4 linked regions of the Arabidopsis thaliana genome follow. The protein of the gene in region 1 interacts with the protein of each later gene in a pairwise test. Each region holds a gene or a part of one and is shown in the gene's direction. Other genes may lie near its edges. The genes, in order: BZO2H1, bZIP2, RR18 and ABI3.

Region 1 (7,876 bases):
TTGCGAGCAGGGATCGTAGCTCTCCCAGCCATATTTGATTCAACTACACACGATAAACAATTCCAGAACAAAAATCAATCCAGCGAAGAAGACAATTATCGAAATTGGGTAAAAACCCTGATCAATTCCTGATCTTAGATTCGAAGATAAAGCAAAAGCTCATAGATTTTACTCATTACCTCTTTTTCTCTGTTCTTCTCTCCTTCTTCGATTTGATTTGATAGATAGATTTGTGTAAATCACAACCAAAGACCACGCGCAAAAAAAAAACTTGTTCAGAACACGATTCAATTGACAATATTACCCCTGACTATACCTTTAATAACGATACTACCCTCCTTTAATAATTGCTCATTAACAGTAAAAGTGGCAAAAGTGTAAATATATACTAAAAATAATGATGAGTGCAAGTCCCATCAAAGCCAGCTTGCCTCTTCGAGGGTACGTTTGTCTTTTCGACATCTCTTTTCTTGTCTCTACTTCAGAAAAACCTCCTGTGATGATTATTATATGTGAAGCAGAACAAAAGCAAAAAGAGAGAGTCAGAGGAAGAAGAAGAAGAAGAAGAGTCAGTGAGCTGCAATGGCGGATTCTCACTCAGTCAACAATCAGCTCTCGAGACACACTTCCATTTTTGGTTTACGTTTATGGGTTGTTCTCGGCGTTTGCGTTGGAGCCGCGATCGTTCTTTTACTCGTTCTCATCTCTCTCTGGTTCATTTACCGACGAAGCAACAAGAACAAATCTCTTGAGTCTTCTTCTAAATCTAACCATACGATTGTTCCCGTTGTTTCCAAGGAGATTCAAGAGATTCGACCTCCAATTCAACCCGACCCAACACCGGAGCCACACCAAAACCAACAAAGAGAAGACGATAACAAAATTCACATCGAAATTGGTAAAGATCATCGGATTGCGTACCCGGAACGAGGAGGTTGGACTGGTTCCGGGTCTGGGTCCGGGTCGGGTGATCAGGGTTTACTTATGTTGTCGGGTCCTGAGGTTTCTCATTTAGGTTGGGGACATTGGTATACGTTGAGAGAGCTTGAGGTTTCTACTAATGGATTTGCTGACGAGAATGTGATTGGACAAGGAGGTTATGGGATTGTGTATAGAGGTGTTCTTGAGGATAAATCAATGGTGGCTATAAAGAATCTGCTCAACAACAGAGGACAAGCTGAGAAAGAATTTAAAGTCGAAGTCGAAGCTATTGGACGCGTAAGACACAAGAATCTGGTGAGATTGCTTGGTTATTGCGTTGAAGGAGCTCATAGGATGTTAGTTTACGAGTATGTTGATAATGGGAATTTAGAACAATGGATTCATGGTGGTGGTTTGGGGTTTAAGAGTCCTCTTACTTGGGAGATTAGGATGAACATTGTTCTTGGAACAGCCAAAGGGTTAATGTATTTACACGAAGGTCTTGAGCCTAAAGTTGTTCACCGAGATATTAAATCGAGTAATATCTTGCTTGACAAGCAATGGAACTCGAAAGTTTCTGACTTTGGGTTAGCTAAGCTCTTGGGTTCGGAGATGAGCTATGTGACTACTCGTGTGATGGGTACGTTTGGGTATGTGGCTCCTGAATACGCGAGTACCGGAATGTTGAATGAGAGGAGCGATGTTTATAGCTTCGGTGTTCTTGTTATGGAGATTATTTCAGGGAGAAGTCCTGTGGATTATAGCCGGGCTCCGGGAGAAGTGAATCTTGTGGAATGGTTGAAGAGATTGGTGACGAATCGAGATGCGGAAGGAGTTTTGGATCCGAGGATGGTTGATAAACCGTCGTTAAGGTCATTGAAGCGTACCCTTTTGGTAGCTTTAAGATGTGTTGATCCTAATGCTCAAAAGAGGCCAAAAATGGGTCATATCATTCATATGCTTGAAGCTGAGGACTTGGTCTCTAAAGATGATCGGAGAAACTCTGGAGGAGGAGGAGGAGGAATAGAACAGGGAAGGTCACCGCGGAGGAAGACAAATGTGAATGAATCAGAGGATGAGAGTGGTAATTCTGTTCTGATCAACAATGACCAATTAGCTTTGGAGAATAAGCAGAACTAGTAAAAAAGAAAGAAGCTTTGGCATTATAATTTTGTATTACTATTTTTAGAAGTTTTTTCTTGTGTGTGTATATTTATGTGTGTAGATTCTTAGCCCTTTCACAAAAAAAAAAAAAATGTGTGTAGATTCTTGTAATTTTGCAATAATTAAAACTGGGGATTGCTTGAAAAATATATATATGGTTTGTTTTTTTGTATTCTTTTGGTTCGTTCTCTATTGTAATATAGCCTACATAGTGGTGATTTGTGGTATTGGTGACACTATGTTAAGGTCAAAAAGAAATAGAGAGTAAATTCCATATATATGAAAATTGAAAATGACTGTTTAAATTTACATATGGCGCGAAAAAATGATCTAGTTCGTTAATTATTTTTAGAAGCTTTTTGTGGTAAATTTAGATTTTTAAAAAACTCCATATATTTTTTTTTTATAATTTAGGCTTGTCTATTGTAAATTTGTAATATAGCTTAGTGATTTATTTGTTTAGCTTCTGGTGACATTTTATAAATTTTTAATGACCAGTATAATATAGTATTTTTTTATAAATTAAAATATAATCTAATGTTTTATGTCAACTTCGTTGTTCATTGAATAAATCAAACTTTGAAGAATAATTAAATAACAATGTTTGCAAAAACTGTTACGTTTTTTCATGTAAACATTAGTGGACGTTATACAATAGATATTTAAATTATAAAAACTATTCAAAGAATATTGTAAAGAAATAAAACAGAAATGTGTAAGAAAAAATGTTTATTTTATTGTACGTAATAAAAAAAGAGAATATACTTGTGTGGGTGGACCTAAATGCAAATAGGCAAAGTACCGACAAAAAAAGAAGAATCAGAAAGTGAAAAAGAGAGCGAGCGATGAACAGTATCTTCTCCATTGACGATTTCTCCGATCCTTTCTGGGAAACTCCTCCGATTCCTCTCAATCCCGACTCTTCTAAGCCTGTTACGGCGGATGAAGTTAGCCAGAGTCAACCGGAATGGACTTTCGAGATGTTTCTCGAAGAGATTTCTTCGTCGGCGGTGAGCTCTGAGCCACTTGGTAACAACAACAACGCGATCGTCGGTGTTTCTTCGGCGCAATCTCTTCCTTCTGTTTCCGGACAGAATGATTTCGAGGATGATAGTCGATTTCGTGATCGCGATTCGGGAAATTTGGATTGTGCTGCTCCCATGACGACGAAGACGGTGATTGTTGATTCCGATGATTATCGTCGTGTTCTTAAGAACAAGCTTGAGACTGAGTGCGCTACTGTTGTTTCTCTTCGGGTGTGTTGTTAATCTTCTATTTTTCTTATCTATATGTGTAATTTGTGCGTTTTGATCTAAATCTGAAGCTCTGATGTTCTCTTCTTAGGTTGGGTCTGTGAAGCCTGAAGATTCGACTAGTTCTCCAGAAACTCAACTTCAACCAGTTCAATCCAGTCCTCTTACTCAAGGTAAGAGTCTCTTCTTAGTTTCACCAGGATAGATGAGCGATGATAAACCTGCAGATTCGTTTCTCTGTTCTGTGTTTGTTAATTTAGATGCCTAGGTTAAGGAATTAGAAATAGAAAATGGTACTTTTGTTGGATCAAGCGCCTAGTTTTATCCGTCAAGTTTCAATCTTTTTGTGACTGACTTTCTCATTGAAATTAAACTGCTTTCTGGAAGAACAATAAGCTTGGGATTGAGATGAGTTCTGGTGGTTAGTTCAATATATGGGAAATCATTATTTCAGCGCTCGTCTTTCTCTTTCAGATATCTCTTCTGAGTCTTAGACATAGTAAGTTTTAATCGTGGTAGGTTCTTTGATGACCCCAGGAGAACTTGGTGTTACTTCTTCCTTACCAGCTGAGGTGAAAAAAACTGGTGTATCAATGAAGCAGGTTACTAGTGGATCGTCGAGAGAATATTCTGATGACGAGGACCTTGATGAAGAGAATGAAACCACCGGTTCCTTGAAGCCAGAGGACGTTAAAAAATCTAGAAGGTAATCATTACTTTTTCTCCAATTTCTTGTCGTTTGAAGATTACATTTATAGAGCCTTGTTCTTCCTTTTAATATTTGTAGGATGCTGTCAAATCGTGAGTCAGCTAGGCGATCTAGAAGGAGAAAGCAGGAGCAAACAAGTGACCTCGAAACACAGGTTTTGTGTTGTATCCTCTCAACACCTCATTTTTGTGTTGAAGGATATTAATGAGACCTAATTTGTATTTTGATAGGTTAATGATCTAAAAGGTGAGCATTCATCACTTCTTAAACAACTGAGCAACATGAATCACAAGTATGACGAGGCTGCTGTTGGCAATAGAATACTAAAGGCTGACATTGAGACATTAAGAGCTAAGGTAAGAAGACTTAAGTATTATCCTCCTCTCCTTTTTCTGAACTACCCTTTTTTTGTATACAGTTTTAGTAACTCCCATGTTATGTTAAGGTGAAAATGGCGGAAGAAACCGTGAAGAGAGTAACAGGAATGAATCCGATGCTTCTCGGAAGATCAAGTGGACATAACAACAACAACAGAATGCCAATAACTGGTAACAACAGGATGGATTCTTCTAGCATTATTCCAGCTTATCAACCACACTCAAACCTAAACCATATGTCAAACCAAAACATCGGGATCCCAACCATTCTACCTCCAAGACTCGGAAACAATTTCGCTGCTCCTCCATCCCAAACCAGCTCTCCCTTGCAGAGAATTAGAAATGGGCAAAATCACCATGTTACTCCAAGCGCCAACCCGTATGGCTGGAATACCGAACCTCAGAACGATTCAGCATGGTAAGCTAAAACATGGCTCTTTCTTTTAAGACCATTGAACAATTTAAAACCATTTGAAGTACTATGATCCCTGTTTATACATATCAGATTCCTGTCTCCCCTTTTTTTGCTCATTTTACAGGCCGAAAAAATGCGTGGACTGATCAAACAAGAAGCGGGTTTCGCACTATATTAATGTCTATGCATCTGTAATTTGTAAGTGTTATTAAGTTACGAATCATGAGAAAACATCTTGTGAAAATACAGTCTCATGGCTTATATATATATATAAGCTCTGTCTTATAACATTACAAGATTCTTATTTGAGAATCGTCTTTCTATTTATAGCTAATAACAGAGTGTATATCTGTTTTTATCCAATTTTAAAAAAGATAGCTCACATGGCTTTACTAATTTCCCCTATCATTAAATTCCGACAACCTCGGCGATTTCCATGGTAGATCGATCAAGCATTCACATTTTCTCGTCAGAAAACACAAAAAAAAAAAACAGAGGAGAAAAAGAGACGACGACAAACAAGTGAAAGAAAAAAGTCGTCGTTCTTCCAATTTTTTTCTCCTCTCTCTTCCTCTGTTTAACGGCGTACGTAAGTCAAAATGGGTTCAAGTAAGCTAAAACGTGCCATAGGAGCCGTGAAAGATCAAACAAGCGTAGGATTAGCCAAAGTCGGTGGTCGAAGCAGTTCTTTAACGGAACTCGAAATAGCTGTCGTGAAAGCGACGCGACATGATGACTATCCAGCGGAGGACAAGTACATTAGAGAGATTTTATGCCTAACTTCTTACTCACGCAATTACGTAAGCGCTTGTGTGGCAACTCTCTCGCGACGGCTCAACAAGACCAAGAACTGGTCGGTTGCTCTCAAAACCTTGATTTTGATCCAACGGTTGCTAACAGATGGAGATAGAGCCTACGAGCAAGAGATCTTCTTCGCGACGAGACGAGGAACGAGATTGCTTAACATGTCTGATTTCAGAGATGCGAGTCAGTCTGATTCGTGGGATTACTCTGCTTTTGTTCGGACTTATGCTTTGTATTTGGATGAACGTCTTGATTACCGGATGCAAGGAAGACGAGGGAAAAAAAAAAGTGGTGGTGGTGGTGGCGGTGATGGTGATTCCGGCGAGGAAGATGATCATCGAGGGACAAGCAACGATATTCGGTCGAAAGCTATTGTGGTTAAATCTAAACCAGTCGCAGAGATGAAAACAGAGAAAATCTTCAACAGAGTACAACATTTACAACAGCTTCTTGATCGGTTCTTGGCTTGTCGTCCAACAGGTAATAATTAATTTCCTTGGAACACACGCTTTTCCACTTTCGGATTTCTTGGTTAATAAGTTAGGTCTTTTGCAACAGGTAATGCGAAGAACAACAGAGTGGTGATTGTGGCTATGTATCCGATAGTAAAAGAGAGTTTTCAGTTATACTACAATATAACAGAGATCATGGGAGTATTAATAGAGCGATTCATGGAATTAGACATTCATGATTCCATCAAAGTCTATGAAATCTTCTGTCGAGTTTCTAAACAGTTTGACGAGTTAGATCCGTTTTACGGATGGTGTAAGAACATGGCAGTTGCAAGATCTTCAGAGTATCCAGAATTGGAAAAGATTACACAGAAGAAACTTGATCTCATGGATGAGTTTATAAGAGATAAATCAGCTTTAGCTGCACAAACAACAAAATCATCATCAAAAAGGTCTAACAAATCTGAGGAGGAGGAGAGCAAAACAGAGTATATTCAAGAAAATCAAGAAGATTTAAACTCCATCAAAGCATTACCCGCACCGGAACAGAAAGAAGAAGAGGAAGAAGAAGAGAAAATGGAAACAAAGAAAGATGTTGAAGAAGTGGTTTCAAGACAAGATCAAGAGGGTGATTTGCTGGATTTAACAGATGAAGCGGGTGTAACGGCAGGAACGGTTGGTGATAGTTTGGCGTTAGCGTTATTTGATGGTGTCGTTGGGACCGAGAGTGCGTCTGGACCGGGGTGGGAAGCGTTTAACGATAATTCGGCGGATTGGGAGACGGACTTGGTGAGATCGGCGACAAGATTGTCGGGACAAAAGAGTGAGCTCGGAGGAGGATTTGATACTTTGTTGCTTGATGGAATGTATCAGTACGGTGCGGTTAATGCTGCGGTTAAAACGTCTACGGCTTATGGAAGTAGTGGAAGTGCTAGTAGTGTGGCTTTTGGTTCTGCAGGAAGCCCAGCAGGTAAAACAAATTTAAAATGAAATCATTTTTCAATTTTTATCTTAGTTTCATGAGAGTCAGTTCAATGAATCTGATCTAAATGATGATGCAGCCTCGATGTTGGCATTGCCAGCGCCGCCACCGACAGCCAATGGAAACAGAAATAGTCCGGTGATGGTGGATCCATTCGCGGCGTCGCTAGAGGTAGCCCCACCAGCATACGTGCAAATGAATGATATGGAGAAAAAACAAAGATTGTTAATGGAAGAACAAATAATGTGGGATCAATACAACAGAAGTGGAAGACAAGGTCACATGAATTTCGGACAAAACCAACAACAACAATATTATCAGCTTCCATACTCCATGGGACCTTACTCTTACACGCCTCGCTATTGATATTATATAAATAAACAATCACCATTAATGAAGAGCTTGAAAGAAAGGTGTTAGCTTCTTTTTTGTTGTCCCTCTAACATTGTAAACTCTTCTGGTCACTATTTGTGAACAACACCTATGATATTATTATTATCATTATAAACCAAACTGATACTCCCTAGTAAGTGAAACTCATGAAACATTTGAATGTTGAAACCCCCAATTTTCACTTTAACATATAAAACTGAACTTTCTTTTAATGCGAAACAAGTTTCAAATATCTCATTACTCACTGTATATAAATGTCTATACGCTTTCTTTCTTCACAGAAACAACAAGCGAAGCCAAAAGCAATGAAGACTTCCATGAGCATCGTCGCCGTAGTCTTCTTTGTGACCTTCCTCGCTATCTCTGCTGCTCCCTTAAACCCCCAAGAAGCTTGCATACGAAGAAA
Region 2 (6,786 bases), on another chromosome or scaffold:
CACTTAAAACGATAAAAATCTAGGAGAAATTTTCTCTTTTTATTTTTGGTATTCAAGTATTTTCTTCTGAAGTTATCGCATCCGTGAACAGTACTAGAAATCTACATTATAATGTTGCTTAATGCCTATATATTACTATTAACATGACCATACATGCAGATTTTAATTATATCTAATTTGCAAAGTGGATATGCTAGTGGTACTTTCACAAATCTTAACAAAGAATTGAACCATTCGAACATTAAACAAAATGTTTTAAAGGAGTGTTATGCCATATTTTGATGGCCCCTTCCGACCTAACTTTGCATTGTCTTAACTTTATTATCATGAAAACCTAGTTAGTATATTTTTCCATTGTTAAAACTTGATACGTAAACCGGGACGTCATTCATTAAAGCAAAACACTTAAAACTTGAATATATAACAATAATACAATTTCTGACAAAGAAAGATTCCCCGAATACATGGTGGAGAATTAAATTGTGGGAAATATTTTAAAACCGTACTTTTCTTTAAATACCAGAAAATATTTACAAAGCCTTTTTTAAAGAAATTTTATTTAAAAAAGATTGTGATGGTTTTTTGGAAAATAAAAATTATATTCTATAATTTTCGTCTTAAATTAATAAATTTACTAATTTGTATATCTTTTTTTTATAATGTATTTTACATATCTTTCTAAATAAACTTATGTTTGAGTGATTTTACCTAACACTAATGGCCAATTAGAAATTAGTCGTCATTTCATCATCGATTAGGGACTGATTTTGATAGATTATCAATATTTTATACAATTAAAAAATGGCTATGAAGTTCCAGAAGAGATGAGCTATATGGACCCATGTGCTTATTGTCCCCTGCATCTGCTTAGAGGTTAAGTGTTAATCACCTTTATTTATATATGTTTAATACTTAATTATTTTTCTTTCGCCAATCTCATAATTAATTAGGTTTAAATTAAAACTGGAACTTTGACGTGTATTAAGAGCCGCTCATTGAGAACATGGATTGTGCAATGCACGTGGTTTCGTACGGTGCAGATCTACAAAAGAGATTCTGCGTCAAAGACGGTGTCGTGCACTGTTGTTGTCTAAATTTTGTAGGCGGTGAAATTATGAAAGTTGTCTACTAACGGTAACTAAATTAACTACCAACGGTAAATAAATTTTGTCTCAGGTGAAGGGAAATTATTAAATTTGTCTAGCCTTTTTACCCGCTATAAGTTACTATTCAGCGTGGGACGAAAAAAAAAAAAATTACTACTCAGCGTGGTGTGCCGACATAAAAATAATTACTCGTGTAAAAGAAAATAAAAACTATGAAATACTTGAAGTCGTACTATTAAATTATAATTTCCTTGGTTAATATCATCGCTGTATCAAAATTTAGATTTAAAATATGATCAATGATATAATTTAAAATATATATATAACGTATGATAAAACGATCAACTTACATTGTTAAGTGTTTCTAGAGCATTTTAAAAACATATTCTATAATTTCATATATAACATTTTGTTCATAAAACTTAGGTAAATTTGATCTCGAATCTTTAAAACAACCAAAATATTGTCCACAAAAATTCGGTGTAATATTGAAGGTTGTTGTTGTTCATGTTCTTGATTACTTTTCAATTCTCTACATTTTTACATATTGTTTCATTTAGAAAAGGAGTTGGTTGAATTGTGGTTTATCACTTAATTTTTATTATTTATATGTAATTTATTTTTAATATAAGGTTTTATTAATTAATTTGCCTGTAGTATTGTTTTAATGTATGTTTATAGTTATTCATCAAACAATTGTGATCAATATAAAGATTATCCGACCGTTAGACTCGTCACAGGAAATTTTTCTGAAGTTGAATTTCAAAAGCTCAAACAATTAAAACGCGTAATGATAAGTGTTGTAAAATGTTATAGAATTAAATTTAAAATTGTAAACAAAAAGATATACAAATAAAGAAATGATGTTGATGATGATAGTGCTTTATTTTCTTATATTTTTTGTGTGTCTTTACCAATAAGAAAAGAATAATCCATTTTTATAGATATGAAAATTTAGTAAATCAATTGAAATTATTACAAATGATGTAGTGTAGTTATTTTGAAAATGGAGTAAACATTATCTGTAGAATATGAATTAATGATACGTGTTACATGTATTAGACATTCATTGGATTTGTAACAATTTATAAATAATTAGAAACATACTTCAGATTTATCTCTTATAACTATATTATAACTTTTTCTAACAATTTGTGACAGTTTTCGTTTCATTTTAGTTCTTACCTTCAGTAAGATCAGCTTTTATTTTGTGTTAAACAAATTCAACAACTCGTACAAACACTTTATGAGACTTTTCAATAATTAAGACGAACAACAATGATCTAGTACACACAAATTAGATACTAACATTTTTAGTTCGAAATCATTTACTAAATTCAAAATTTTGATATCAATCACATGGCTCGAAATTACTGTATTAGATTGAAATATCAGAGCACATATCAATCCCACAAATCCTCATGAATTTACTTAATCCACATACTTTAAATTTTATTTTTAAATATTCTATATTTTCTTAAAATGTTGGCTGAAATAATGTTTTACAAAATTTTATTTCGTTGGAAAATTATTAAATTTATCACCTTCCTATTTGATATCACTTTTAATTCACCAATTGTATGTATCAAAATATTCAAAGCCATTGACTGAATTAATGGCAACAAAAATTATCAAAGATTTTCTGTAATTCCTACATTGACTACATGCAATTTTCAAGACATTGACTATTTTCAATAGTTTTCACTCTTTTTAATCTTGATATCTGGTCAACTTTTACCACCTACCTATTTGTCTATCCTACTACATATCATTAATCACACCATTAAACCACACAAATCTATACTTACCATTAATATTTTTCTTTTGAATACCAAAAAAACAATCAAAAAGTAAAGTGTCATTACCAAAAAAATAAAAAAGCAACATCCACCTACTGACCTACATATTTTTTTTAATAAAATTATAATGAATCATTTTGTTAGTAAAAAATAAAAATGATAAAACAATGGGCGCGTAAACGATTCCAGCTTTCCCCACCATCCATTATTTCCCAAAAAATCAAAATAAATTAAAAAGACACAAGTGGATGCTTGAGATTTGGTTTCTATATAATCCATAACACACCCTTCATCAAAAACCTCTTTCCCATTCACTCATCTTCTCTTCCTTATCTCCTTAAAAATCTTCTGCTGTTTTCTTTTTTATATTTAGAGCTCCTCTGTTTCTTCTCCAATAACCAAAAAAAAAAAAAAACTCTTCCTCTGTTTGTTTTCAAGTTCTGACATCATAAATTCAGACCGAGAAAACATAAAAATTTGAGTCTTTTGATGATCGGAAACTGATGACTCCCGTTCTCTGCGAAATCCTGCTCTCTGGGCTCACGGTCAAATCTGCTCTCTGCCGTAGAACCCATCTCGTTCAATCTTTCTCCGTCGTCTTCCTCTACTGGTTTTACAACGTTTCATGAATTGCTACAAACTCTAATTAATTTTTTCAGACAGATCATAAAAAAAAACCAAACATAAAACATAAAACTCTGTCCTTTTTTTGTCTTCTTGTAACTTTTCTTGTTAAAAATCAATGGCGTCATCTAGCAGCACATACCGGAGCTCAAGCTCTTCCGACGGTGGTAATAATAACCCGTCGGACTCCGTCGTCACCGTCGACGAACGAAAACGTAAAAGAATGTTATCGAACAGAGAATCTGCACGTAGGTCAAGGATGCGTAAACAGAAACACGTTGATGATCTAACGGCTCAGATCAATCAGCTATCAAACGACAACCGTCAGATCTTGAACAGCCTCACCGTAACATCTCAGCTTTACATGAAGATCCAAGCCGAGAACTCTGTTCTCACCGCTCAGATGGAGGAGCTTAGCACCAGACTCCAATCTCTCAACGAGATCGTTGATCTTGTTCAATCCAACGGTGCAGGATTTGGTGTTGACCAGATCGACGGCTGTGGTTTTGATGATCGTACGGTTGGGATCGACGGATATTACGATGATATGAATATGATGAGTAATGTTAATCATTGGGGTGGTTCGGTTTACACTAACCAACCCATTATGGCTAATGATATCAATATGTATTGATTAATAAAATTAATTAAAATAATTAGATGCCCCTTTTTTGTCTTTTTATTTTAAAATTTAGCCCATTTTGGTGTTTTTGGGTTGGTGTGATGATGTAATTATAGTACATGCATCTTTGATTGGTTGGAAGGATAAATATAAACTTTATATATATATTGGGGCATATATATATGAGTTGTACTTTGTCATGTATTGGTGTGTGTTTTGTTATAATTATATGATTATATATGTTTATGTTATCATGATTTTGTCTTTCACCTTAATATTCCAATTGTTTATTCGGATAATGGTTTGTTTATGCTTCGAGAAAAGCAACTTTTTGGATTGGTAATTTTTAAGAATGAAAAAAATCACATTTTGGATTGATGATTATATATATATATATATATAAGCTGCATTTACAATTAAGTTTTGGTTTTTCTGCAAATAACAATAAAAAGGAACTTCTAGATAACATGTCAAATCTACCAAGTCAAATTTCACCTGTAATATAATTCGTTGTCAGCAACGTAAGTGCTAAATAATGATCAATTATATAACAAATAGAGTTCCTTGCGACTAGGAGAAATTTATCATAATGTATGTGAAAAATAAAAGATCTTCAAACATATATATGATGCTTATATGTTTAGAGGGTTTTGTTGCAAGAACCCATCATTTTAATATAAGATTATGGTTTTTTTAGTTAAAACACAGATGAGCAAATCTTAGGTGTATGATAATTATTTAGAAATGTATTAAAACCTTCGTCAGTCAAACATTTTTGCTTAAAAGTATCATTCATACAAAAGGACATAAATTTAAAATTCAATGATTTTTCCTTTTTTTCAAATGTAATAACACCAGTGATAAAGTTTATTGTACGAACGCAAAACGTTCATATTAATGATGGTATCTTGAAGATTTATTTGTATTTATTACATATGTGGCCAAGAAAACATATAACGTCAATTTAGTTTTATTGCTTTTGCATTTATCTTTTCTAAGAATCTCTATGAATATATTGTATTATAGATATATATTGTGTATATTATATAATCTATATTTTTTTTTTTAATATTAGATGTTTCAGGGTCAGGGCATATGAACGTAATCTATTCTTTTTTTTAAGAAAGCAAACTTTTTCCAACACGAATTTAATCCGTGACTTCAAACATTTCCATATTTACGGTACACTTGTATTATTGTGAGTGAATATGGTTTATGTTTATCCTTTATCTTTTTGAATCTTATTATATATAAAAAGGTTGGTGTTGTGTCTTTACGATTTTAATCTTAACTTTATGTTATATGAAGACATATATGAAAACGATATATAAACACCAACAAAATAAAAATAATCATTATTGGATGTCCTATTCTCTTCTCGTATATGTGAAGCTTTACACTTGCTGAAAATTATTGGCTGTTTCTTCTGATTTGTTCAATATATATATATATATATATATATATATATATATATAAATGATCTCATCACAAACGATGGGCTATTATTTTTCGTATATGACATGAGACAATTATTAGGTATGCCTATATATGAATGAGCACTTTTGTTTGTTTGCCTGTGTTAAAGATCCAGAAGAGTGTACTGATGGGTACACATGTGATTCATAAGCATTTCGCATTTTTCACCTCAATACACATAAATAAAACACTTTTGTACGCCTTTTTGAAATAAGATAACTTTTATGGAACAAAACAAAATGTAATAAAGCAACAAACAAGGATTATGGATAAATGACACATACAGTGTTGTATCTTCGATAATATTAAGTTCTACACCATGCCGTGGATAGTCCATGATTTAATACCGTTTTGTCGATATATTAGGGATGACTTACACACGTAAAATCAAAGAGTGATATGTTAAGGATGAGCACATGTAACATTGAAGAGCCTATGAGTTTTATTAGAGAGCGTTCACAATGAATTTTAGTGTTTGAGCTAGTTATTGATTCATTCTAAAGATAATTAGTTTTTGAGGATGTTAAAGATGAACACATAAAATCGGAGCGACTATGAGCCTTGGAGAGCTCACTTAGGGTTGTATTGTTTGAGACAGAGTTATTTTTTGTCTAAATATACTAAGAATTTTTGTTGTTTCCATTTTGGTTCATCACTATCTAAGTCTATTTAGCCCATATTGTTCTAAGGAACAATAGACTTAGATAGTGATGAATCAAAATGGAAACAACAAAAATTAATGAAGTTTAGACAAAAAATAATGTATTAATATATTCATAATTATGCTTTATTCAGCCCATATTGTTCTAAGCTTAATGAAGTTTGGCCCACTTAGTTATTGTTTGTACACTTCTTATAGAGGCTGGCTCAAGTTATTTTTGGGCATTGTGCCCACTGCCCATTTAAAGAAAATTCTGAAAACTGTTCATAATATAAAATCATAGGAAACACTACAACTATAAATATGTACTTAACCCTAAGATACTTCTGATGAGAGCAATAACATTGTCGTTCAATTTTATATCAATCCTCACTCGATCATGGTATATCAGAGTTATAATTATCTAACAATCGGTTACATTCCTGTTTTTAAGCCATGTACTTCTACTTTTTATATTTGTTTTAACCCAATTGCTTCCAATATTCAAGTTCATCATAA
Region 3 (8,082 bases), on another chromosome or scaffold:
ATAGCTTTTTTGGTGAACGAAGAGTCAGATCGGCGAGCCTGAGATGGGTTGGGGTTCGGTGTTGCTATTACTGGCGGTGGCTCTTCTTTGTCAGAGGGCAAGTTCAATCGGAGCTAACTGGGGCACACAGGCGTCGCACCCACTTCCACCGGACATAGTTGTGCGGATGCTAAGAGAGAATGGTATTCAGAAAGTAAAGCTCTTTGACGCCGAATACGACACTCTCAGAGCTTTGGGCAAATCCGGAATCGAAGTCATGGTTGGTATTCCCAATGAGATGCTTGCGACTCTCGCCTCTAGCCTGAAAGCTGCTGAGAAATGGGTTGCTAAAAATGTCTCTACTCACATCTCCACCGACAACGTCAACATCAGGTACTTCCTCTGTTTCTTTCCTTTATTAGGGTTTCACATTTGTACTGTACTAGCTGGTTAATTGGAATCAGTGACTGAGTTTGGATTCCCTAAACAGTTACTAGCCATGCCTGAAATTACGGGCTACTGTCTTTTTCTGAGATAATTCTACACAAATCTCTAGAGTAGGTGCTAAATTGATGCTGTGATTTGGTTGTTGGACAGATATGTGGCTGTTGGGAATGAACCTTTCTTGTCTACTTATAATGGGAGCTATCTGAGTACTACTTTCCCTGCGTTGAGGAACATCCAAATTGCAATTATAAAGGCTGGCCTTCAGAACCAAGTGAAGGTCACTTGTCCCTTGAACGCTGATGTCTATGACAGCTCCACCACTTTTCCTTCTGGAGGGGACTTCAGGGCCAATATCCGTGACCTCATGATCACTATCGTCAAGTTCTTGAGCGAAAATGGCGGTCCTTTCACTGTTAACATCTACCCTTACATCAGTCTTTACACCAACCCCGATTTCCCAGTTGATTACGCCTTCTTTGACGGCAATGCACAGCCCCTGAACGATGGTGGGACTTTTTATTACAACATGTTTGATGCAAATTACGACACCCTAGTCCACGCGTTGGAGAAGAATGGGTTTGGTAACATGCCTATCATTATTGGGGAAATTGGTTGGCCTACTGATGGGGACAGTAATGCGAATTTGGACTACGCTAAGAAGTTCAACCAAGGCTTTATGGCTCACATCTCAGGGGGGAAAGGGACTCCGAGGAGACCTGGCCCTATCGATGCATACCTGTTCAGCTTGATAGACGAGGACGCCAAGAGTGTTCAGCCAGGATACTTTGAGCGACACTGGGGGATATTCACATTTGACGGCTTACCAAAATATGCCTTGAACCTAGGGACAACGAACACAGGAGCTCTGATCCAGGCCAAAGGGGTACGCTACCTAGAGAGGAAGTGGTGTGTGATGAAGCCAAATGTGAGGTTGGATGATCCGCAGGTAGCTCCAGCCGTGAGCTACGCGTGTAGCCTTGGGGACTGTACTAGTCTTGGGGTTGGGACGTCCTGTGCTAATCTTGACGGGAAACAAAACATATCGTATGCATTCAACAGTTATTATCAGATACAGGATCAGCTTGATACAGCTTGTAAGTTCCCAAACATATCAGAGGTGACCAAGACAGATCCATCTACTGGAACTTGCAGATTTCCGATTATGATAGAACCTTACTACGGTGGGGCAGCCCGGGAACACGGGTTCTTTTTCCCACTACTGATGGTGGCAGCCATCGCAGTCTCTATTTTTTGATGGTTTCTTCTTGTCAATTTGTAATTCTGTGTGATGGCTTGAACTATTTTTTTTTCTTCTTGAATTCTGATTTCTCTTCCTTAGACCAAGTGATTATTAGAGCTGTTTTCTGGGACCAAACTGACCTTAAAACAATGCCATATTGCCATGTTCAATAAATCAGGCCCAAATGAGCATTTGAATTTGTACTATAGTAGTTGGGAAAGTCTATTGCGCTCTCTTTCTCCCTGGAGCTCTGTTTCATAAATGCTGGAGAGACTGTCCTTTTGTTGTTTTAGACATCTATAGTACTACAGATTTGTACAACTTCCAATTCTTCATATGAAGTTTCCCTTTCTCCTTGCTCTCGTTCTTCTAGATAGGAAACTAGGAGACGATTATCTAATTTCTTAATCTTTGAGTCCAATTGGCACTATGCACCACTCCAAAAAATAGTCTTTGATCTGATTTCCACTACCACAGAGACTTATTTCCAGTTTCCTTCCATTTGAAGAAATCGAATGGTAATAATAATCTGAGTATAAGAAGATCACAGAGTTGTCGATTTCTTCAAATGGAAGGAAACTGGAAAATAAGTCTCTGTGGTAGTGGAAATCAGATCAAAGACTATTTTTTGGAGTGGTGCATAGTTCCAAGGGTTTGGTGATGGATAAAGTTAAGACTGTTGGAGACTCATCAGCAACAATCATCTGTGACGCAGTTTTCACATTGGTTGTGATTTCAGATAGAATAATCAAGAAAATGGCAGAGTAATCACAAGTATGACGATTGACTAAGAATGTGGAGTAATAAGAGTCGACGGATTCGAATGCCTGAATGTGATCAGGTCAGTCCATTGCATTTGTCGAATTCTCTTTTTTTTTGGAACTGAGACCATACGCGTTATGTCAAAAATCAGATTTTTTTTGTTTTGTTTTGGTGCATTCACTTAGAAGACTAAAAAGGAAAAACATTTCTATGGAAAATAGGAAATGCATATATATAAGGAAAGCCAGGAAAGGTTGAAACGTTGGGTTTGAACGTTTATTTGCGAGTAAGGAAACAAAATGGGGACATTTACATTCACTTTACGAAAAGTTTGTCTTTTGTGCTCAGATAAGGCAAGATTCAACCAACAAAAGAGAAATTAGAGGAACATGTGACTCTCTCCACGTCCTCATTTATGGAAATATGAGCAGAAACAGAAGGAAATTTCTAATTATTTGGAGAATTAAGGGCCAGATTAACCGCGTAATCACTCTCTCTTTTGGGCCACTCGTCTTTATCTTTTTACATTTGTCTATAGGAGGACTATGGTCTTCTTCTAGTCCCAAACTTGAGGTTTTAAGAATAAAACAGATCAGATTTTAGTCTATGTACTATATTCCTTTGAAGAGAGGAGACTTGCAAACGTATTGCATCAAATATGGAGTTTGGAAGCACTGAAGATGGAAGGCATGACAAGTTTCCTGTAGGAATGAGGGTTCTTGCTGTGGATGACAATCCAACCTGCCTTCGGAAACTCGAAGAGTTGCTGCTTCGTTGCAAGTATCATGGTACTACATATTCTTTGCTTTTGTTTTTTTTTACCTGTCTGCTTCGGAATTGGGGTGCATGGTCAATGATGTTTGATTGATTACGCCAGTGACAAAGACAATGGAGTCGAGGAAAGCTCTGGAAATGCTGAGAGAAAACAGCAACATGTTTGATCTGGTGATAAGCGATGTAGAGATGCCAGACACGGATGGTTTTAAGTTGCTTGAAATTGGTCTTGAAATGGACCTTCCTGTCATCAGTACGTCTCCTACCATTGTTTTTCATATCAACTCTAGCCCTTATTGTAACCTGCTTCATTGTCTCAGTGTTGTCAGCTCATAGCGACTATGACAGCGTTATGAAAGGTATTATACATGGCGCTTGCGATTATCTGGTCAAGCCTGTTGGACTCAAGGAGCTTCAGAATATATGGCATCATGTTGTGAAGAAGAACATTAAATCTTACGCAAAACTGCTCCCACCTTCTGAATCTGATTCCGTCCCAAGCGCCAGCAGGAAACGGAAAGACAAAGTCAATGACAGTGGTGATGAAGATGACAGTGACAGAGAAGAGGATGATGGTGAGGGGAGTGAACAGGATGGTGACGGGTCAGGTACGCGGAAGAAGCCACGTGTTGTTTGGTCTCAGGAGCTTCACCAGAAGTTTGTCAGTGCCGTTCAGCAATTGGGCCTCGACAGTGAGTTTCCCCATAGACCTCTTTAAACCTTTCCTTATGTGTGATGTCCACTCTTGTTTCTCCTATAGAGTTATTTTGATGCTTTCATGTGTGGGATCCTCTTTTCATTTCTCCTTGTGTTCATCACAGAGGCTGTTCCCAAAAAAATACTTGATCTCATGAGTATAGAAGGTCTCACTAGGGAAAACGTAGCCAGTCATTTGCAGGTACTAATTCCCCATTCTCTCTTGCATTTTTCCCCTTCTTTCGCAAATATAATCTTGGATGGTTAGACTTGTTTTATTCTCTGGTTTTGGTTGCAGAAGTACAGACTGTACTTGAAAAAGATAGACGAAGGTCAGCAGCAAAATATGACCCCAGATGCATTTGGAACAAGAGATTCATCTTACTTTCAGATGGCTCAACTTGATGGACTTAGAGATTTTACTGCCGCAAGACAAATTCCAAGCTCAGGACTCTTATCGCGTTCCCATCTCACCAAACTCCAACCCCCTATGTATTCATCGATAAATCTCCAAGGAATGAACTCCTCCAGCTTCATCCAACAGGGGCATCACCAGAACTCAAGCAATTCAGCTAATCCGTTTGGAACATATCACAGTACTCTGTCACCAAGAATCCAGAACGTGAATCTGTTTCAGCGAACTTCATCTCCACTAGAACCCCTCCAGTTTCCTAGAAGCAAGTCATACATTGGAGATTTTAAAGGCTTAGGGGACAGAGCTATTGGCGGTAGCTTCCTAGATACTTGTATGCCATTTGGTAGCTCTAGCACCTCTTTACCAAGTGCTTCCACCAATCCTCTAATGTTGCAAGCAAACTATACACAACCCCTGCATATAGCCTCAGATGGAATTCAGCCTTGCATCGAGGGAACTCCGTCCAACTCTGCCTCCCCAAACATCAGTTTCCAAGGCTTATCTAGATTTCCTGGTCATAGCTGGCAAGGGAATTTGAACACAACCAGATTCCCACCGAGTTCCTTACCACTAAATCTTGCTTTCTTGCCGGATCAAGTGACATGTGCAGGGAACAATCTGGGAGATTGTACTTCTTTGGTTTCTGCAGAGAATCCTGGTGGAGAGATGCAGTGTGATCCTCAATTACTTGGCGGCTTCATGCAGAACGTGAATCCGTTAGGCGGACAGAAATGGGAGCAACAGAACTGCACCATGCTGAACAATCCATTCGGTAACATTGAGTATCCTCTACCCGCAGATAACATGGTTTTCAGAGACAACAATTCAACCAGAAGCAAAGGCTTGGATGAGTCACTGATGAACCCAATAGACAACAGTCAAGAGTATGTTGGAAAAGCTACTACAATGCTGGATCCAGAGATGAAGTCGGGAAAGCCAGAGAATGACAACCAGCATGATGTATTCGATGACATAATGAATGAGATGATGAAACAGGTAACGCGGTTGTTTTCTTGATTGGATTAAAAGCTTTTGTAGTTTGTAGAAAATGAAAGTGAATGTGTTTGTTGCAGGAGGAGAATAACGGAATGGTGCCAGTGGCTACTAGATTTGGCTTTGATTCATTTCCTCCACCTTAGCTAGTCATCTCTTTCTCTACCAGTTGCATTAAGTTTCTCCACTTGAGACCATTTTCATGTGATTTTTTTAAATTTCTTCCCACATTGTTTCCTCCGACTGTCAATAGATCATAGTACACCAACCTGTTTCATACTCTCTTTTATGAATTGGAATTGAAAGCGAGCCTGTTACAAAAATTTATTTTATAAAGTTTCTGAATAAGTGTTGTTATTCAAAACCAATATACGAATAGTAATGGGCCTAATTGAGATCGTTGGTTTACATATGGAGCTATTTTGAAGTGTCAACAAGAAGAGATATTTAGATGTCGATAGGATAATTTGGTGGGGCCTAGAAACGGCTAGAGGAAGTCAAATCAAAATGTGACTGTATGGCCCATTGTATTGTATCCTTCTTCCCACAGAACAAGGAAGACATTTGTGTCCTCCACCTTTATTCACATTTGTAACTGCTAGACGCTACTAGAACCCTTGCCCTACACGCTTTCCACGTGGCATCCTCTCGTCCCAGCGAAATCTCCTTGATATTATTTTTTTATTTCCTTATAAAGAACAGAATCTCTTCTTATCCTTTTACCTCAAAGAAAACATCGAAATCTTAGAGAAGAAGAAAAGAAAAAGAAGAGAAATGACAGAGAAGAAAGAGATGGAAGTGGTGAAAGGGCTCAACGTGGAGAGATACATGGGCCGTTGGTACGAGATTGCTTCTTTCCCATCAAGGTTTCAGCCAAAGAACGGCGTCGACACTCGCGCCACCTACACCCTTAACCCCGACGGTACCATACACGTCTTGAACGAAACGTGGAGCAACGGGAAGAGGGGTTTTATCGAAGGCAGCGCCTATAAGGCCGATCCTAAAAGCGACGAAGCCAAGCTCAAAGTCAAGTTCTATGTCCCTCCTTTCCTCCCAATCATTCCCGTCACCGGAGACTACTGGGTGCTCTACATCGATCCTGACTACCAGCACGCTCTCATTGGCCAGCCTTCCAGGAGTTATCTCTGGGTTGGTACTCTTTTTTTTTTCTCTTTAACGAATAATCGAAATTGATCCCAAAAATGATTGACTCTGTATATGTGGGTGGTGTAGATATTGAGCAGGACGGCGCAAATGGAGGAAGAGACGTATAAGCAGCTGGTGGAGAAGGCAGTGGAGGAAGGTTATGACATCAGCAAGCTTCACAAGACTCCTCAGAGTGACACACCACCTGAGTCCAACACTGCCCCTGAAGACTCCAAGGGCGTTTGGTGGTTCAAATCTCTCTTCGGCAAATAGATTACACGGCACACAAAGACTTTGTTTCACCTCTTTGATCCTTTTGTCTGTGTAATATACTACCCCCTTTGTCTACTCTAGTTATCTTCCATCATCTGCTTTTGTCTATTTACGACATCTTCATCTAGTTATGCAAAGTCGTCTCTTTTACCATAAGGAAGCGCACACAAATTCAATCAGATCAAATCTGGGAAAGACAATTCAAATCTTGCAGAAGTTGACATTATGTATTTGGATAAACACACCACACGACTCGAGACTTATGGAATCAAAATAATGCATGCAAACTACAGACGGAATTATATGTATAGATAAGACGATAGAAAAAACAGTCTCCCCCCAGCAAAAGTTTGGTTGACTATATACCCAGCAGGACTTCCAGCTCACAGAATAGTACAGCATGAATTTGTTTTCTTCGCTTGCTTGTAAAACATCTGTTCCAACCAATACAACCAAATCAGATTTTCATGTTGGAAGTAAACATGGTTTACCTAATCTAAATAACGAAGAATATCTTGAGATTCCAGAGGATATGACTAATACATATGTTCCTCCCCATGGTCAGATGATATAGCAAAAAACACTATGATTCTTCGTAGCAAACCTAATAATTCCAAAATCCAACTGTATAGTTCAAACTGCACTCAAATGTCTGCAGGCTGAAGCAGAAAGCTTTTTCAAAGAAGGTATTCTAAATCCACATTCTTCCTCTATTTATCTACCCCAACAATAACATGCAATAGTTCCTCTATCAATCAACAACACTTATAAGCCTGCTAAATCAACAACCCTTTCTAACGTGTTCACCAACTATGCTCAGAGATCGAGACAGGGAAAAAAGGAAACTAAATCTATAAGAATTTCTAGAATGTGACTTTAGAATGTTACCTGTGATGCCATGCTCAAATCTGAGCTCTTCTCCACTAGGCTGTCCAGCTTCTCACCACGGGCTAGAACACTATCAATGGTTTTATGCTACAATACAGAACAAAAAATCAGTCTTACGGAGACAGGGACATCCATCATAACTACCAAGACTTTCTTCTTGTTTTGGTGTTTTTCAGAAGAAAGTAAACTCACCGACAGAACAGCATTTATGTATAATTGGCAAGTATACTGAAACTTAGAAAAGGAAGTACCGCTTATGTATAAGGGTCTACAAGAAAGGACCGGAGACAGCACTTACAAGGATAATCTTTGTCTCATCCAACTCCCTCTGGATTTTCAACAGCTTATCAGCCTCTGCTGGGTCCTGAAGATTACAAATACGGGACAATCCCAAAATCAATTTAAGATCAAATCACTCAAAATCCAACATGGTCATAAAACAATGGGGGCTACTAAAATTAATTCATGA
Region 4 (9,623 bases), on another chromosome or scaffold:
GGCAGCATATGAAGACAACCCGCCGCTTAAAACCACGAATGGTGACGAAAGGCTTCTTTGTTTGCATGTGCAACCAATCTCTCTCTTTCTCTCTGTCTTTACTAATTTTGGTTGTTCGTAGAAAATGAAATATTTGAACGAAGAAGATAAAGGTTGGTGATGTACGTATGACTCTAAATTAGAGTTTGATAATTTGTATGTAAGATTAGATCGGTTTTGTTATTTGCTTGATCCAATTTATTGAAGTACATGTGAATAATCGTGATATATGTCAATATATATGTGCTATAATTAAATCTATTAACAAATTTCTTTTTATCGATTTAGTTACACCATCTTTAATATATTTCTATTTTCTATTTTAAACTAAAGCATAGTTTCTCCAATATATTAATTTATATATTTACTCTAGGATAGAATTAGATTCAAAAACTAGAATAGAGAATATAGATGCTCTAAATAGACAATAATTCTATTACTTACTCTATTTTAGAGTAAAACATATAGTGATGCTGACAAAAATATTATTTTATAATAGAGTTTAGAAAGAAAAGAAAAAACAAAAAAAACTTGAAGATGCTGGAACTATTAAAAATTAAAGAAAAAGTTTAAAATGAATAATGCTTTTTATTCTTAGTTTTTTTTTTCTTTTTTTTCTTTTAGTTGATGTTAAAGTTTTAGTCAAATCTCCAAAATTTGCAAAAAAGATACATTAGTTACGGACGGATATATATTAAATAAATTAAGTCACAAATATCATATATATATATATATATATTAATTTTTTGCCTAGTTTTGTTCCAAATAAAATTTTCAATTTTTAGTGTACAATATTTTTCATCGTCCAAATACACAAACACAACAAATAATAATACCACTAATTTATTTGTTTTCTAATATAATTGAACCTTTTCTAATTTTATTAAATAGGCTGAAAACCATAAATTATTTGGAGCCAAGATTAAATTATGTTACATAAATCCTTTTCTCGTCATCAATACTCAAATTTAAATTTTTTTATTTTCATAGATATTTTTGGGAATTTAAAATCCTTCCAAATAAATTTGGGAAAATAATAGATGTTTTAAAATATTTTTGTTATTTTCGAGTAGTTTACACTGATTTTACATCACTTTATGGATCAAGACCATAAAATTTAACTACATTTATTATAACTTATTTGAAAAGACATGAAACTTTCATTAGAGTTTAGGAAAATACGGCAAACTATTAGATTATCACCCTCTTGTGACTAATGTTAATACTATTTGGTAAAGCAAATAATCCCATAACTAATTTTATTTTGATTTGTTCACTATCAATTGTATCATAGACGATCCGATGATTAATGTACCTAAATTTTGATTTAAATTGTATTCCTTGTAGTACGCATAGTAAAACAAAGTTCACATGTTCTTTTACAATTGGTTTTCTAACATTTTAGATTTCATTTTAAACTAAAGAAAAAGGGTTTTTCGATCCCAACAATTTTTAAAGTATGTTTTTGAATTTCAACAAACGACTAGTACTGATATATACATCAATGCTTACAAAAATCAAATTATCTATCTCAACGTTTACTTTTGTACGTAATTACAAGTCAATATTAACAAATATTAGTCAACTGTAACGGTTGTTGACTCAATTGATACGTGTACGTTTAGGTGGCATGTTTTTTAATAAAATAATTTTGTTTTATGTTTTGGGATTAAAAATATTTACTTTTAAAAAACTAAACCGAAAAACTGGAACCCCCAACCTCACATATTCATCACCATCGTATCCACAAACATTATCGAGACATAAATAATAATTTATAGATATATAGCAACAAATTGGAATTAAATTAATCAAACAATGTCATTTAGAATTGGGGAAATCCTAACCGACGTTATATGATTAATTTTAATTCCAATTTATGTATGTGTATATATCTATAAATTATTATTTATATATTGATGATGTTCGTGCATGATGGTAATGGTAACCTTTAAAACTTTTGAATCTCAAAACGTAAAACAACGTCATTTGGTTTGAAGAACATGCCATCTCGACGTACAAGTGTTAGCTGATTCAACAACCGTTACTGTTAATTACCATAACTAACGTTGACTCATAATTATGTACAAAAGTAAGAGTTGAGGTAGATAATTTGAATTTTTTAAATGTTAAAGTATGAACATTACTAATTGTTTGTTCAGATTTATAAAACACAGTACCTATTTTGATGTGTTAAAATGTAATCGGGAAAATAGGAATTTTCCCAAGAAAAAAAAATACACTAAAATTTTGATGTGTTAAAATGTAATAAATACAAGTACCTATTTCTTTCTACAACAGGTATCACATGATCTGCTCAATCTCATTTTGAAGGCAAGGTCGAACCCTGTTTGTAACTAAATATTTTACAAATACACTAAAAGTTTTGTTTTGTTTTCCTCATGCAGAAAAAAGAAAAGAAAGAAGAAGAAAAAAAACTCACAAAAACATACATTGTTCTACAATATGTTAAAGTAATTGTTCTAGGGTAATAAAATCCGTGTCTGCCTCTTCCACTTCAATAGGAAAGTGTAAGTTTTTCGAATCTTTTTGGCCAGATAATTTAAAACCGACCGAGGAAACTTACTTTTGTAAAAGTGACCATTTGCACATAGGAAGTAGAAAGTTGATAATTGGAAAATTTATAATATTTTATACAAAAGAAGTGTTTAAGAACCACCGCTTGGTCTCACCACTCAAATTCGAACGTATGGCTCGTGGGCACAAACTCCTGTACCAACCTTTAGATACTAGCGGCACGAGGAGACTTCTATTTTCTCTTTGTTTTTAAGTTTTTTTATCGACTTAAATATGGCTTTTTGCACCATTTAATTTCAAAACCAATGTCTTTCTCTCGAGGAACTTTGTTTTTATTTCTTAGAAGATGAGGGGAGATTTACTATCTAAATAAAATTTTAAATGTTTGTAAGTATTATGAGCTCAACAATTTTGTCAATAGTGCCACAAATTTAAACGTTTGCTTTTTGTCTTCTTTGAAAAATCAAATGCTGAAAAACTGTTACATCTCTTTTTCTTAAAAACTCTTGTCTCTCTCCTTTTCCTTCTGCTGAGGTAATTGAATGCTGCAAAGAGAAAGAGAATAACTTAAACCCAAAATTACACTTACCGCCAGAAAAAAAAAAGAGTTCAGTTTAATCTAACATATTTTATACAATACAATTGAATTATATTAGTAAAAAAAAAACTTCCATATAAATCATGGAACAAACTGGAACACATGGGCTCTCTTATTTTAATTTATTTTCTTTTTTGAGGGATTTAACCATGTTTATTATATAGTTTTATAAATATATATATACCATCTCTCCATAATTTATAAAATGAAAGAAAGAGAGAGTCTTCTTGTTGGAGTAAACCCAAACGGTTTTAGATTACTTATTAGCTGTTCATCAGTTCTTCCTCTCTAAAAGAGTAAAACCTAAACATCTCTCTCTGTTCTATTAGAACCAAAGACCAATCTTTGTGAACAAAACACATCTCGTATACTTCAGATCTAGACTCGAAAATTTTAGACCTCTTTACAATTGGTCTTTGTTCATCTGAAGTTGGAGAAAATAGTTAGCTTAGGTCGGATCTTTTCATATGCTTTGGATCCTCCTTCGTCTCTTTTGTATAATTTTAACCTTATCAAGAGTTCTTTTTGAATCTCAAAAGATTATATAGTAGTATAGAAGGTTTATATGTATATGTATAGCCAGATAGTTTATGTTGTTTAAAGATTCGATGATAGCCAAGTTGGGTTAACTTTCTTTTTCCTTGCCTCCTTACTCACATACAAACCCTATCTGTCCGTACAAAATACTAAAAACCCTAACTTTTCTCTCTCCACCAATCTAGTTTATTGTTTCATTTCCACTTCAACGATGAAAAGCTTGCATGTGGCGGCCAACGCCGGAGATCTGGCTGAGGATTGTGGAATACTCGGTGGAGACGCTGATGATACTGTTTTGATGGATGGAATTGATGAAGTTGGTAGAGAGATCTGGTTAGATGACCATGGAGGAGATAATAATCATGTTCATGGTCATCAAGATGATGATTTGATTGTTCATCATGACCCTTCAATCTTCTATGGAGATCTCCCAACGCTTCCTGATTTCCCATGCATGTCGTCTTCATCATCGTCTTCAACATCTCCAGCTCCTGTCAACGCAATCGTCTCCTCAGCCTCTTCTTCTTCGGCAGCTTCTTCCTCCACTTCCTCAGCTGCTTCTTGGGCTATATTGAGATCAGATGGAGAAGATCCGACTCCAAACCAAAACCAATACGCATCAGGAAACTGTGACGACTCTTCTGGTGCATTGCAATCCACAGCTTCCATGGAGATTCCATTAGACAGCAGTCAAGGTTTTGGTTGCGGCGAAGGCGGTGGTGATTGCATTGATATGATGGAGACTTTCGGGTACATGGATCTACTTGATAGCAACGAGTTCTTTGACACCTCAGCTATATTTAGCCAAGACGACGACACGCAAAACCCTAACTTGATGGACCAAACCCTTGAGAGACAAGAAGACCAGGTCGTTGTTCCGATGATGGAGAATAACAGTGGTGGAGACATGCAAATGATGAATTCTTCCTTGGAACAGGACGATGATCTCGCTGCTGTGTTTTTGGAGTGGCTAAAGAACAACAAGGAGACTGTGTCGGCTGAGGATTTGAGGAAAGTAAAGATAAAGAAAGCTACGATTGAATCAGCGGCAAGAAGACTAGGCGGTGGTAAAGAAGCGATGAAGCAGCTTTTAAAGCTGATTCTTGAATGGGTCCAAACTAATCACTTACAAAGAAGACGCACCACCACCACCACCACCAACCTCTCTTATCAACAATCATTCCAACAAGATCCATTTCAAAACCCTAACCCTAATAACAACAACCTAATCCCACCGTCCGACCAAACCTGTTTCTCACCTTCAACATGGGTTCCTCCACCACCACAACAACAAGCTTTTGTCTCGGACCCGGGTTTTGGATACATGCCTGCTCCAAACTATCCGCCACAGCCAGAGTTCCTTCCTTTACTTGAATCTCCACCGTCATGGCCACCACCACCACAGTCTGGTCCCATGCCACATCAACAATTCCCCATGCCGCCAACCTCGCAGTATAATCAATTTGGAGATCCAACAGGTTTCAATGGATACAACATGAATCCGTACCAATATCCTTATGTTCCTGCAGGACAAATGAGAGATCAGAGATTACTCCGTTTGTGTTCCTCAGCAACTAAAGAGGCAAGAAAGAAACGGATGGCGAGACAGAGGAGGTTCTTGTCTCATCACCACAGACATAACAACAACAACAACAACAACAACAATAATCAGCAGAACCAAACCCAAATCGGAGAAACCTGTGCCGCGGTGGCTCCACAACTTAACCCCGTGGCCACAACCGCCACGGGAGGGACCTGGATGTATTGGCCTAATGTCCCGGCAGTGCCGCCTCAATTACCGCCAGTGATGGAGACTCAGTTACCTACCATGGACCGAGCTGGCTCAGCTTCTGCTATGCCACGTCAGCAGGTGGTACCAGATCGCCGGCAGGTAGACATGCACAATCATCTTTCTCATTGTTTATTCTTTAATTTAGCAATACTCGAATAGTTTGTGTAATTGCACCACTCGTTTGGTTTGATGAAGAAGCTAAAGATTTTACATGTGTTTTTTTTGATAAAATGTGAATCGGAAGATTATACATTTGCAATGGAAATGAAATGATTTTGATCTTTTTGGTTTGATTTTAGGGATGGAAACCAGAAAAGAATTTGCGGTTTCTCTTGCAGAAAGTCTTGAAGCAAAGCGACGTGGGTAACCTCGGAAGGATCGTTTTGCCAAAAGTAATTTTTCTTCTAATTTCTTGTAGCCTTTGCTTTCCATTTTCTAAAAAAGGTTCAATGTTTGTGTAAAAATATTGTCAAGTTTTTATTTTATTTTTACTCTTATTGGTTAAGTTATATTTTACTGAATTTTTATTTTTTTTAGAAAGAAGCTGAGACACACTTGCCGGAGCTAGAGGCAAGAGACGGCATCTCTCTGGCCATGGAAGACATCGGAACCTCTCGTGTTTGGAACATGCGCTACAGGTAACTGATTATGATGCTAACATGTTAACATTGATTCTTTTTATAAAAACAATTCGTGTATTTTGTCAAAAATTGGAACTCGACCAAAATGTTTTTTCGGTTATTTAATTGTCTTCTTAAATTGGTTTTGCAGGTTTTGGCCTAACAACAAAAGCAGGATGTATCTCCTCGAGAACACCGGTACGTTTTTGAAAATGTACCCGTTAATAATTTTCCTTTCTTTTGGTTTGTTTGTTCTCTTGTAATTATTGTTGTGGACGCATACATATCTAATTTTCCTTGAAATTACGTTTACAGGCGATTTTGTGAAAACCAATGGGCTCCAAGAAGGTGATTTCATAGTCATATACTCCGACGTCAAATGTGGCAAATATGTAAGAGAAGCATCACAATATTTTTCTATACTTTTCATTAGTATTTAACTCTCATCATTACTTTTGTTGGTATTTATCTTGTCATAATTAATTGAGAATAATATTATGACAGTTGATACGAGGGGTTAAAGTAAGACAACCGAGCGGACAAAAGCCGGAGGCCCCACCGTCGTCAGCAGCTACGAAGAGACAAAACAAGTCGCAAAGGAACATAAACAATAACTCTCCGTCGGCGAATGTGGTGGTCGCTTCACCAACTTCTCAAACTGTTAAATGAAAAACAGAGACAAAAAGAAACAATATAAATATTATTATGTACCAAATAAGAAAGAGGGCAAAAGGAAAAAATGGCAGCGTACCCGAGTGTGCCACTTCTCGTGCATGCATGGGATCTTGAAGACAAATGGAGGGTCATGATTAAAGCTGTTTGGTCGGGGTCCGGGTTTTTACTCCATTTTTTGCTTTTTCTTGTCGAGTCGGTTCTTTTATAACTCTTTACTCTTTTTACCTTCAGGATATTGTAGAGATGATTAATTCTGGAAATGGTGTTTGTGTTATATTTCTGGAGAGATGATTATATAGTTCTTTTGTTGTTGTAATTGGTTAATATTACATATGTGGCTCATTTCTTGAGTCGAGCTTACATATCGTTTATAATGTGAATGTTTTAAGAAGAGTTGAATGATACAATATTTTTACACAAACATTGATAATGATAATAAAAATGATAATTAATGTACAAAATTATTTGTAAATATGGACATATGGACAATTTAAGAAGGAATTGAGATAATTAATTTTGTACATTAATTATCATTATCAATGTACAAAATTATTTGTAAATATGGACATATGGACAATTTAATGATAGTAAAAATGATAATTAATGATAATTAATGTACAAAATGATAATTAATGTACATATGGACATATGTACAAAATTATCCATATCATTCACATATTCACATTGTAAATATTTGTAAATAGAATGTTTACATATGGACATTTTAAGAAGAGTTGTTCCTTACCACTTTGATTCTATCATTTTCTTGTTTATCTAGTTAGCTTGAACCCTTTGTATTATTGAGTAACGAAAATCTTTGGAGGAAAAAAACAAGTGAGGTAGGATTATAATTTTCCTCATATAAGTGTGTTGTTTGTGATACATCATTATTCTTTCTTATTTTTGGTTAAACCCAAAAACTGGACCGCACCTAAGGAATTGAGATATTCAAAAAAACAATGATCTGACCCGTGCCAAATATCCACACCACACCTTTCTCCATTCAGGCCCTACTAGAAAGCCGTGAGACGGTTGACAACTTGAAAACAAAAGACTTATAATGAGACTATGAGAAACAAAAAAGAAAGTGGAGTTGATGAAATAATCTGATCTTATGAAAGTGAAGTTGATTACAAAAGGAGCAGCGTGGTAGTTGAATAGTTTCAGATGTTGATAAAGACGTGACATACATAGTTGTCTCAGTAATCTAATCAAGGACTCCTCATGTTTCTAACTTCTTCTTCTATAAAGTTGCATGAGATTTATATCTGGAGAACATATATTGCTCTAATTATGTGGTCTTATTATCATCAATATATGCCTTTTTCTACATATGAATATATGATCGACATGTATAGATATTTTTTGTTGTTCAAAAAAAAAAAATGTATAGATATTTTTTTCATTTTCCAAAAGGATTGAATTTCGAAATGGTGTAGCCACCTTAGAGGTATACAACAATAAATAATTTTCCCGACTTGTAACAAATGTTTGGAACAAAAGTGTCAATTAGAATCAAAGTAACCATCAGATGCCTTTTATAAATTTCTTTATCTATGATTATTTTTTAACCAAATTCAGACACTTCTATATTACTAAAAGCCAAACTTGATATCTATTTCAACAAAAAAATTTTTTTTTAGTCTGCTGTGACTCAGTATATCTAATTGTTTTCACATCATTCATAAACTTTTACTAGTCCATTGTAAAATACAGTATATTAGAAATTGTTTTCCTATCTATATATGCTTAGGTTTAAGAAAACAACTTTTGGCCATGAATATTTGAGTTTTTAAGTGGTTTTGGATTATAGATTTTGCCAAAAGGAAAAAATATTGATTTAAAATTACAAAAAGAAATCTGCAAACAATTATCAAAAACTCATTAAAGTGGGATTTATTTTTCATTTTGTTTACAAAAATGCGAACTCTAATCTTGATTGGATAATTAAATGGGTTTTTGGAAAACCAATAACTATGCTATAAAGTATAAACTACTACCATTCAAGCCTTCTATTTTTCTATGCCAAAAAATACTACGCAAAAAAAATTGAGCGTGTTTGATCCAACAATAAAACAAATTACTCAATCTTGTTTGATGTCAAAATCCAAATCCAAAATATGTTTCGGACACCTGACCGGTCTACTCGATTGACACCCCTGAAATTTCGAAATAGACAATACACAAAAGGACATAGACAACATAACTTCATCTCACTTAGATATTCACATTTCCCATTTTTCAAAATATTGGCTCTTCATTTTCTGTGTACTTCCAACAAATTGTCTTCTAGAGAAACCAAAACTATCTAAGATTTCTCCACCTTCTCCATCATCCACCGTTGATTCACTCATCTCATGTCTCCAATGACTCATCTACGGTCAAGATTCAAGGAGCATGAAACATCCCATGAACCAAATTACACAAAAACATTTACCTTGATAAAAAAACATCATTTTATTATTTTGGCAGAAGAAAAAGTCTTAATTCGAACTTTGAGCGTGCTTATAGTTTAATCAATTAAAGTTATAAAGAAAAGTAACTTTATAAATTCAGGAGTAATCAGTAGATTTATACCATTCTTGTCCATCGCTTTAAGCCACACTTGATCGGACGGTAAGCAATCAATCCGGTTTACACTTTCTGATTATAAAGATTCCAACTTTTGGTTATATCGGACGGTTAATAATCAATACGGTTTGAGTTTAAATCATAGCCGTTGAGATGTTTGACTAAAGTGTTTACAAAGTAGTCAACACTCTCTTTCTGCTACAAAGGACCAGTCTTGAAACTCAAAGTCCTTACCTTTCCCTTCTCTAACCTC

What was found.
Region 2: the proteins of BZO2H1 (region 1) and bZIP2 interact in binary tests that used the Arabidopsis thaliana proteins (3 or more experiments, as listed by UniProt).
Region 3: the proteins of BZO2H1 (region 1) and RR18 come close enough for resonance energy transfer, tested with the Arabidopsis thaliana proteins (one study listed by BioGRID).
Region 4: the proteins of BZO2H1 (region 1) and ABI3 interact in a two-hybrid assay, tested with the Arabidopsis thaliana proteins (one study listed by BioGRID).

The regions. Positions count from the first base shown.
Region 1 is NC_003075.7:1,151,101-1,158,976, forward strand, and holds BZO2H1 (bZIP transcription factor family protein), read left to right. Parts: upstream 1-2,853; 5' UTR 2,854-2,930; coding exon 2,931-3,341; intron 3,342-3,429; coding exon 3,430-3,511; intron 3,512-3,857; coding exon 3,858-4,044; intron 4,045-4,125; coding exon 4,126-4,201; intron 4,202-4,277; coding exon 4,278-4,403; intron 4,404-4,492; coding exon 4,493-4,842; coding exon of another isoform or gene 4,843-4,846; exon of another isoform or gene 4,847-4,963; coding exon 4,964-4,985; 3' UTR 4,986-5,256; downstream 5,257-7,876. Other genes in the region: AT4G02620 (vacuolar ATPase subunit F family protein), read right to left, coding at 1-32; AT4G02630 (Protein kinase superfamily protein), read left to right, coding at 583-2,061; AT4G02650 (ENTH/ANTH/VHS superfamily protein), read left to right, coding at 5,439-6,123, 6,202-7,065, 7,157-7,443; AT4G02655 (uncharacterized protein), read left to right, coding at 7,725-7,876. UniProt on the Arabidopsis thaliana protein: Transcription factor that binds to the C-box-like motif (5'-TGCTGACGTCA-3') and G-box-like motif (5'-CCACGTGGCC-3'), ABRE elements, of gene promoters. Binds to the 5'-ACGT-3' motif of seed storage protein (SSP) encoding gene promoters (e.g.
Region 2 is NC_003071.7:7,895,665-7,902,450, reverse strand, and holds bZIP2 (basic leucine-zipper 2), read left to right. Parts: upstream 1-3,208; 5' UTR 3,209-3,647; coding exon 3,648-4,163; 3' UTR 4,164-4,439; downstream 4,440-6,786. UniProt on the Arabidopsis thaliana protein: Transcription factor that binds to specific DNA sequences in target gene promoters. BZIP2-BZIP63-KIN10 complex binds to the ETFQO promoter to up-regulate its transcription.
Region 3 is NC_003076.8:23,499,155-23,507,236, reverse strand, and holds RR18 (response regulator 18), read left to right. Parts: upstream 1-3,067; 5' UTR 3,068-3,086; coding exon 3,087-3,216; intron 3,217-3,305; coding exon 3,306-3,455; intron 3,456-3,522; coding exon 3,523-3,894; intron 3,895-4,023; coding exon 4,024-4,100; intron 4,101-4,196; coding exon 4,197-5,309; intron 5,310-5,386; coding exon 5,387-5,452; 3' UTR 5,453-5,632; downstream 5,633-8,082. Other genes in the region: AT5G58090 (O-Glycosyl hydrolases family 17 protein), read left to right, coding at 44-372, 577-1,681; TIL (temperature-induced lipocalin), read left to right, coding at 6,081-6,455, 6,540-6,725; YKT61 (SNARE-like superfamily protein), read right to left, coding at 7,109-7,159, 7,614-7,700, 7,912-7,977. UniProt on the Arabidopsis thaliana protein: Transcriptional activator that binds specifically to the DNA sequence 5'-[AG]GATT-3'. Functions as a response regulator involved in His-to-Asp phosphorelay signal transduction system.
Region 4 is NC_003074.8:8,993,988-9,003,610, forward strand, and holds ABI3 (AP2/B3-like transcriptional factor family protein), read left to right. Parts: upstream 1-3,382; 5' UTR 3,383-3,923; coding exon 3,924-5,603; intron 5,604-5,803; coding exon 5,804-5,896; intron 5,897-6,041; coding exon 6,042-6,142; intron 6,143-6,275; coding exon 6,276-6,322; intron 6,323-6,439; coding exon 6,440-6,516; intron 6,517-6,628; coding exon 6,629-6,793; 3' UTR 6,794-7,198; downstream 7,199-9,623. UniProt on the Arabidopsis thaliana protein: Participates in abscisic acid-regulated gene expression during seed development. Regulates the transcription of SGR1 and SGR2 that are involved in leaf and embryo degreening.